2 linked regions of the Neurospora crassa OR74A genome follow. The protein of the gene in region 1 interacts with the protein of each later gene in a pairwise test. Links are inferred from orthologs where the notes say so. Each region holds a gene or a part of one and is shown on either strand. Other genes may lie near its edges.

Region 1 (4,358 bases):
ACACTCACCGACTCTACTGAGGTGGCCGATGCTTTGGCTGTCCAAGCTTACAAGAGCGATCTTGCTGCTGCGATGGTCCGCGTGGGTGATGGCTTGCGGTATTGTCCCAATAGGATGCGCATGCAGATCGCTTTCGGCAAACTGTTCTTCAAAGAACGCAAGCGGGGTACTACGAGCTATACGCTCGATGAGTTCTCGAAGTTGGCTCGCAGGGTGAGCAGCAGAGGGACTTCTTACATGGAGATGAGGTAAGTGTATACTCTGGTCTTCCCTTCTGGTTCTCCTTTTTCTGGTCGCTTTCCCAGGCGATTAATGTCTAACACTGCTCAGACTGGGTGGTGAATCAATGCGCGAAAAGATTCAACATGCCTTCTCCCTCGATCCAGACTTTGAAGGCCCCCAAGGCATAGAAAACTTTGTGATTGTGACGACGAAAAATGTCAACCTGGAAGTGAGCGTCGATAAAAATCAAATCTGTGGTTTTACTTTCGGCTCATTGAACGTCTTCCATCGAGAGAAGAGCCACCGTAGTGTCGAACTTGCCACAGCATGCCCTGACAAGTAAGTCGGCATCTTTCTCACTTCCTTGCCAAACTAACACATCCCAGAAATCACGACTGGGTCTTGAAAGTCGAGTCTCCCATCGATGAGACCGGCAATAAGCTCCCACTCGATCAACATACACTGAGCAAGGGCATCAGGATTCGTCACAATGAGAACACCCGTTGTATTGAGCCTCACATTGCGGCGTCCTTCGCACAGAAACACCATATTGAGGCTCTCATTGGCAAGACGACCTGGTCCTATTACCTCAACAAGGACTACATCGTTGAGCTTTCCCTGTACCGGCAGTGGAGCACTATCTCGGGCACCAAGAGCCGACAGCCTCAAGAGCCCGTCGCTGGTGTGAGCGTCAGCATGTATCGACCGGAGTGGGACGACCACATGGCCAATGCTGACGTTTCAGCCGGACCGCGGTCCTGGGAAGCGTTTCCAGAACAGTTCTTCAAGTCATCCATGTCATCCGCTGACCCCACTAGGGATCTTGACCCGCTTGATGCCTTATTGCACTGGGTTGGAAAGGTCCAAACGGTGCTGGAAAGAACTGTATAGACAGACGCGGGCTATCAGCAGTTGTAGATGGAAAGTTGTCGTGGTGAGGTATTAAGAGCTGAAGTAGTGATGTTTGGCTGCTGAGCTCAAGGTCGCGGAACGGTTCTTCGAATACATGGGTGTGTCGTCATAATAATCGTCAATGGCTCAACGCGTATTCAAGGAGATCGAGGACATACACCAAGTAGCTGTGCCCAAGTTGTATTTTTGTCGTTTTTTGTTTGTTTTTTTTTGCTTCGCTTAATCACACAATAACAAGTCAGATTCTCCACTATGCCTGTGCCGATGCAGGTCCAGCTCCTTGTGCCAGCACCTTCTGCCTCAAGACTAGATGTTGATTCTTGTTAGTAACAATGCCATGGCTGAAATGCACGGACAGCTCAAGAAAAAGAGGAGAATGCCGTACCTTCTTCCACCACGCGGAGGTTGTTAGTCTTTCCCTGGACAATGGCTTCCAAGTTCTGAATGTTGGCGCCAAGTTCCTTGACCTTGGCATCGTAGAAATCAGTGGCACTTTTGGTGTCCTGAACGCTTCGAGTTAATAACATGTAGTGCCGTTCGTGGCGGAGAGACGTACCTTTTCGACGTAGAACCCAGTACCAACATCGACGATCACGCGGTCGGGGTTGGAGAGCTTGCCCTTGACGTAGAGGGAGTTGGTGAGGGGCACGAGGATGTCTTTGTTGTCTGTTGAATGGGGTCTTGTTGTCAGCGGTGACCATGACTGGAGGGTAGGCGTTCGGCTGGGCTTGGGTCGGGATGAAGGGAATGGAATTGTAGGATGGGCGTGGTGGAACAGCAGGTGGGAAGAAAGGGTGTTGATCGGATATGAGGATGGGAGATATGAGGCGTGGGGAGGTGGAGGATGGCGACATCACCGCCATGAGATGAGTAGATAAAAGTAAAATGAGGTGTAGACGTTTGTTATGGTTGTAAGTGGGATGAAGAGGACTGGAGAAAAAAAGGGATAGCTCATCGGGTCACATCAGAGAATGAGACAAAAGCTCACGAAGAGGTTGACCGTCAAGTGGAAGCTTGACAAAATCCATCCCCATCCCCCAAACTCCCGGCCCTTCGAATATACTCATAGACGATCCACCCCATCTCATCTACCACATCAAGATGAAAGAAAAATGAAGGAAACAGGTCAACTAAACATACCATCAAAAGAACTGCTTCCTGTCTGCACGATTCGCAAGCACTCTTTGAACTTGGCCTGCGCCGCAGCTAGCTGCGTGTACGAGGCCGTCAGGTGCTCGACCTCCTCGTCTAGCTGCTGCTTGACGGCGGTAAGTTGTTGAGCGCTGAGGCTCTCAATGTTGACTGGGAAGGTCTGTTAGTGACTGCCACACATTGAAACATCAAACGGGGAATGGGGGCGGCATCATGGTGTGGACTAAAGGGGGTGAGATGAGTGCGGGAGGTGACCAGGGGGGGGGATGGGGAAGGTAAGGTGAAGCTTGAGCTCGAAGCTTGATTGAGCTTTAGAGGAGGAGCGAACATGAAGCTCCCTTGAATGAGTGGGAGCTTGCAAGGTTCAAAGGAGCGGGCAGCGGTGAAAGGGGAGATACTTACCTCCTTCTTGCTTGCCAGACATCTTTACGCTTTCTTATTCGTTTGTAATCGAGAGAGGAATGGGCTAGATGTAAGAGTGTCTAATTCACAAAACCGAATGTGATGTTTGAACGAGGTTCAGTTCCAGTTGATCGGGCGGCCACGAGGGCCGGCAGCAACGATAGAGGTAGTGCGTGGAGGTGGTTGCCCCGCTATGAGAGCAGCTCTGTGGGGCAGAATTTTGCGGGCTTCCAGGGGTCGCTTCGTCGCTTTCCCCTGTTCGCTGCAGGCGGGGTACATGCCCGAGATCCTAGGTATGTAGTACCGAGTAAACAGTGACTTGACTTTCTCCTGACAACCATCTTCTCACTTTTCCTCGACAACATAGATAGGTCCATTGAGGAGCCAATCCTCGAACTGACCATCTTGTTCCAAGAGAAATACACGGCGAAGCGGCTTACTGGGTTGAGTATAACGGAAAACTGTACTGGAAACAGCATTTTATCCTTCTCGCTCTCTTCAAACTTTCTCGTCGGTTGCCACTATCAACGGGTGGCACCTCAACTTTTCGCGTTACACATAAGAACGGTCACCCCAGCAACCTCTAACAAACAAACACCCGAATTTCTTCTTCACCTCATCAACAAACCCCAACCCAAACTCGCAGAGAAGCACCACCATCATGGCGCCCTCACTGCCATCTCCCATCCCCAAAACCCGCATCGGCGGCATCCCCGGCGTCGACCGGGGCCGCAGCCTCTTCTCCACGGAGCGCTTCGGCGCCGGCGAAACCATCGCCATCATCGAAAACCCCTTGCTCGCTCTCCCAGACGACGCCAACATGCGGACGACCTGCAACTACTGCCTCTATGTCAGCGGGACGATCGAGTTCGAGGGCGATGTGGAAGCGGGGGCCCGGACGTGCAAGGCGTGCACGGGCTGCAAGGCGGCCGTGTACTGCAACGCCGAGTGCCAGCGGGCGCACTGGAAGCTGGTGCATAAGGCCGAATGCAAGATGTTCAAGCGAATCCAGGAGCGGACGGGCAAGGACTGGTTGCCGACTCCCGTGAGGGCGGTGGCGCAGGTGATGCTGTTGTTGAAGGCTGGGGATGAGGAGACTGTCAAGGCGTTTGGGCCTGGTGGTACGTTGGAGAGTAATGTGGAGGGGTTCAAGACTGATGAGGGCTTGTGGGGTGATTTCGAATTACAGGCTACGGGGGCGGTGGTTTATGCGGGTTTGTTGCAGAGTGATGAGACGTTGAAGCAGGCTATGGAGGTTTTGTGCAAGGTGAGTTTGATGTGGAAGTCTGGGTATCGACGTGTGATGTGAACTGACTAGTGCGGCGACCTTAGATCCAAACGAATGCGTTCAACAGGTTTGATGCCGACACGGGACAGGCGGGCATCTATCTTCACCCTAGTCTTTCTATGGTTAATCACTCTTGTGTTCCGAACGCCTACATCGCTTTCGAGAAGCGCAAGGCCTTTCTCAAGGCGGAGAGGGATCTTGAACCGGGCGACGAGATTCTGATTTCATATATCGGTATGGTAATTCCTTTCGCAAGCGAGGGTTTTCTCGTCTTCTAACTTGCCAGCCAGATCACACTATGCCTCGCCGTGCAAGGCAAGAGAGTCTTCGACTCTATCACTTCCAGTGCAATTGTATTCGTTGCAAAGAGGATTTGAATGCC
Region 2 (3,314 bases), on another chromosome or scaffold:
TGAGTGATGTCTACTTGTTTATAATCCTGCCTTGATCCCCGAGTGCTTGTGTGTTGTGGTACTCTACCAATCCATCCATTCCAACCTACACTGTTACTGTTACCATTCTCACATCTCAGTGATACCCTCAATTTTCTTCCTCTTCATCACAATGGCGTCAACAGTCTCCTCCATAAGCCCAATGCAAGGCAAGTCCACCACAACTCCTCCACCCAGCCCTTTCCTCCTCCTCTCACAGCCCTCACGTCCGTCACGCCCAAACTAACACCCCATCTTCCTACATAAACAGCCAGCATCGAAGCAGCAGCCGACAACCTATTATTCGAACAGGGCCGTCTCCTTGTCCCCCCTGAGACCTGCCTCTCCACCCTACTCAAACAGATCCTCGTCCAATTCACCAACACCTACGCCCTCCCGGATGGCAGTCATGCCCTCCTCTCCCAGCCCTCCAGCCTCGACCGTATCCTCAACTCCATCTTCGACACCTCCTGCCTCGCCTTCGTGACCGAAAAGGAATTCCGCATCGAGGCTGGGCTAGACGACCACGACAAGGTGACGCTGTTCGTCCAAGCTGTTGCGGGGATGGCCATGGTTTTTGAGCGGCTCTTGCGTGCTTGTTCTTCTTCTTCTGCAGCTTTCGCAAACTCTGGGTCAGGAGACTTGACGACCAGTCTCCTCTCCAGGGAGCTCCAGCTCTTTGCCGAGAGCGAACAGCGCAGAACGATGCTGGATCGTATCGGCGCGACGTCCTTGCTGAGCCATTGTTATACCAAAGACGAGCTGGTCAGCTTTGTGGTGGCAATGGTGGAGGATCCGGATCGGGCGTCCCAGCAGGGCGGGAGTAGTCTGCTCTCGCTGAATGCGGCGGGCGAGGATTTGTCGAGTGATAGTGTGGCATGGGTTAGTGGCCGAAGTTGCAAGAATATGGGGCTGCCGTGGGGGTTCACAATTATGGCGCTGAACTGAGGTTATACTAGACAGGATGAGAAGCTGCGGTCTGTCGGTGGGTGGATGAGTAAGGGTCAGGGAGAAGGGGGGTGTAAGTTGTGTTTTGGTTATCCCCATTCAGCGATTTTAGAGCAAGGCGTCAAGGGGTATCTTGGGGGAATCTTCAATGAATACATCACGTAATAATTACCGTTTGGTAAAGAAATCGACCTATGACTGCATTCACGAGACAGTTTCCCCGGAGCGCTGTGTGATGAATCGTACCTGCGCCTGATCTCGATTGGGTATAGTGGACATTCTTTCCGTAACTGATTTCATTAGGTCTAAGCCTTGACGGCCTGAGGGGCACCACCAGCCTGGGCGCTCGTCTGGACCTGAATGATCTCTGTCCTCTTCTTCTCAATCTTGCCCTGTGTCTCCTTGATGACTCCCTCCAAGCGAGTGCTGTGACAGTGGGTCAGTTGCGTTGTAACTCAAGATCCCATGCAGCAGTTCAACTTACATCTCCTTGCTGATGAACTCCAGTCTACCCTTGACTGTGTTCTCTGCATCCATCTTGTCCTGCTTGAGCAGCACCGGGCCCACTAGCTTGAAGATCTGCTCGTCATCCTTGAGCTTCTCGAACTCCTACATGGTGCTCAGTTAGTCCCCATTTTTTCCTTGGGCAGAATTTGGCGAAAGGCATTGGGCATGCGAGCGCGATGCTTGGAGAAAAGCTGACATTTTGCACGCTGACGTTTTCCTGCTTCTGAGCCTCGAGCTTCTGTCTGGCGAGAACAGTCTCTTGGAGTTCTGAGGTACAGTTAGTGAATGAACTACGGGGATATCATCATAAGGGGGGCTCACCTTTGTTCAGGTTTTGATACTCATCAGAGAGAGCTTGGAGCTTTAGTTGGAGGGGGCTGGCCATGGCTGCTTCTTTGAGGGTGATGTGAAGTGAGAGACAGGGTTATGCTGAAAAGTTACTAGGCGATGACGTTCGAAAACTGAAAAAGGGTTTGGACACAGTGAGGGAGGGAAGATGATGGATCAAAATGCAGGAACAAGAAACACAGATGAGCTCCAGTATGGGGAATTTGGAGGTTTCTATTCCGGGGAACTGAGCTCGCTGTGCAGTCAATCGTCAGGGGTGAGCTGAGCAGATCCCAAAGTCAGTGCCCAAGCTTTAGCTGTTAGTGCAGGAGTGTATCCTCAAGCAAAGTACTAACAGCCCCAGACCAGCGCTCTCTCCACGCGCAAACAAGTGGCGTCAGTGGCCCCCAGGCCGGGAACCATAACAGGACCCCGCGCTACGCTAGCGCTTCCAGGTCAACGGCCAAGACAAGTCGACCTCGTTGCTTGAAACTAACCAAGATATGGACAAGACCACCAACGATCTTCCCCTCTCCAATTCCACCTCAGACCAGGGCGCGACACCAACTTTTTTGTGCCAGAAGACAGTCTTGCCGTAGTCGTTGCCAGGTGACGCCCGCAAGATACGACCAATTCCCGATTTCTCTTCACCTTATCTCTGCCACTCTCGTTGCCGTAGCCTAGGACAACAGCAGTCGTCATCAACGGGTCTCCTCCCTCGCATATGGCCATCTGTTGACATTGACTTCGAACCTCGGCGCGCGAATATCAACAAACTCTCCTTGTCCGAGCGAAGAAGCAAACAAGTATAACGACTACAAACGCTTACTACGGCGTACCAAGAAGAGCGACCAATCCTACACTCGACTAAACCACGAATTCACGCGACATCACTTTACACGCTTCGAGCCGCCGCCGCACAAAATGTCCAATACCGACTTCCTCGGCCGCGCCATCGAGCAAGTGCGCAAAGCCATCGAAGCCGACAACGCCGCCCAGTACGACAAAGCCTACCAGCTGTACTACCAATCGCTCGAACTCTTCATGCTCGCCCTAAAATGGGAGAAGAACCCGAAATCCAAGGAGATGATCCGGGCCAAGACGGGCGAGTACATGGACCGGGCCGAGAAGCTCAAAGCGCACCTGGCGGACGCGGAAGCGAAGCGGAAGAAGCCCGGGATGGTGGGCGCGAACGGGGGTTCGACGGGCGGGACGGGGAAGGGGAAGGAGGCCGGGGAGGACGGTAATGGCAATGGAGAAGCGTTGGATGAGGATAGCAAGAAGCTGAGAAGTGCGTTGGCGGGCGCGATTCTGCAGGAACGGCCGAACATCAGCTGGGATGATGTGGCTGGTCTAGAGGGTGCCAAGGAGGCCCTCAAGGAGGCGGTCTTGTTGCCAATCAAGTTCCCGCATCTGTTCCAGGGGAAGAGGCAGCCGTGGAAGGGTATTTTGCTGTATGGCCCACCGGGAACAGGAAAGAGTTATTTGGCCAAGGCAGTGGCGACAGAGGCGAA

What was found.
Region 2: the proteins of NCU02963 (region 1) and NCU06941 interact in binary tests that used the Saccharomyces cerevisiae proteins (3 or more experiments, as listed by UniProt). The link is inferred for Neurospora crassa OR74A from reciprocal best matches to the Saccharomyces cerevisiae genes GIM5 and YKE2.

The regions. Positions count from the first base shown.
Region 1 is NC_026501.1:8,561,454-8,565,811, forward strand, and holds NCU02963 (c-myc binding protein), read right to left. Parts: upstream 2,863-4,358; 5' UTR 2,711-2,862; coding exon 2,689-2,710; intron 2,437-2,688; coding exon 2,275-2,436; intron 1,801-2,274; coding exon 1,691-1,800; intron 1,638-1,690; coding exon 1,520-1,637; intron 1,441-1,519; coding exon 1,385-1,440; 3' UTR 1,114-1,384; coding exon of another isoform or gene 702-1,113; 3' UTR 562-701; downstream 1-561. Other genes in the region: NCU02964 (hypothetical protein), read left to right, coding at 1-248, 331-561, 702-1,113; NCU02962 (hypothetical protein), read left to right, coding at 3,350-3,955, 4,021-4,210, 4,267-4,358.
Region 2 is NC_026507.1:843,981-847,294, forward strand, and holds NCU06941 (prefoldin subunit 6), read right to left. Parts: upstream 2,058-3,314; 5' UTR 1,859-2,057; coding exon 1,795-1,858; intron 1,741-1,794; coding exon 1,670-1,740; intron 1,576-1,669; coding exon 1,451-1,575; intron 1,393-1,450; coding exon 1,272-1,392; 3' UTR 967-1,271; downstream 1-966. Other genes in the region: NCU06940 (hypothetical protein), read left to right, coding at 152-188, 290-966; NCU06942 (vacuolar protein sorting-associated protein VPS4), read left to right, coding at 2,725-3,314. UniProt on the Saccharomyces cerevisiae protein: Binds specifically to cytosolic chaperonin (c-CPN) and transfers target proteins to it. Binds to nascent polypeptide chain and promotes folding in an environment in which there are many competing pathways for nonnative proteins.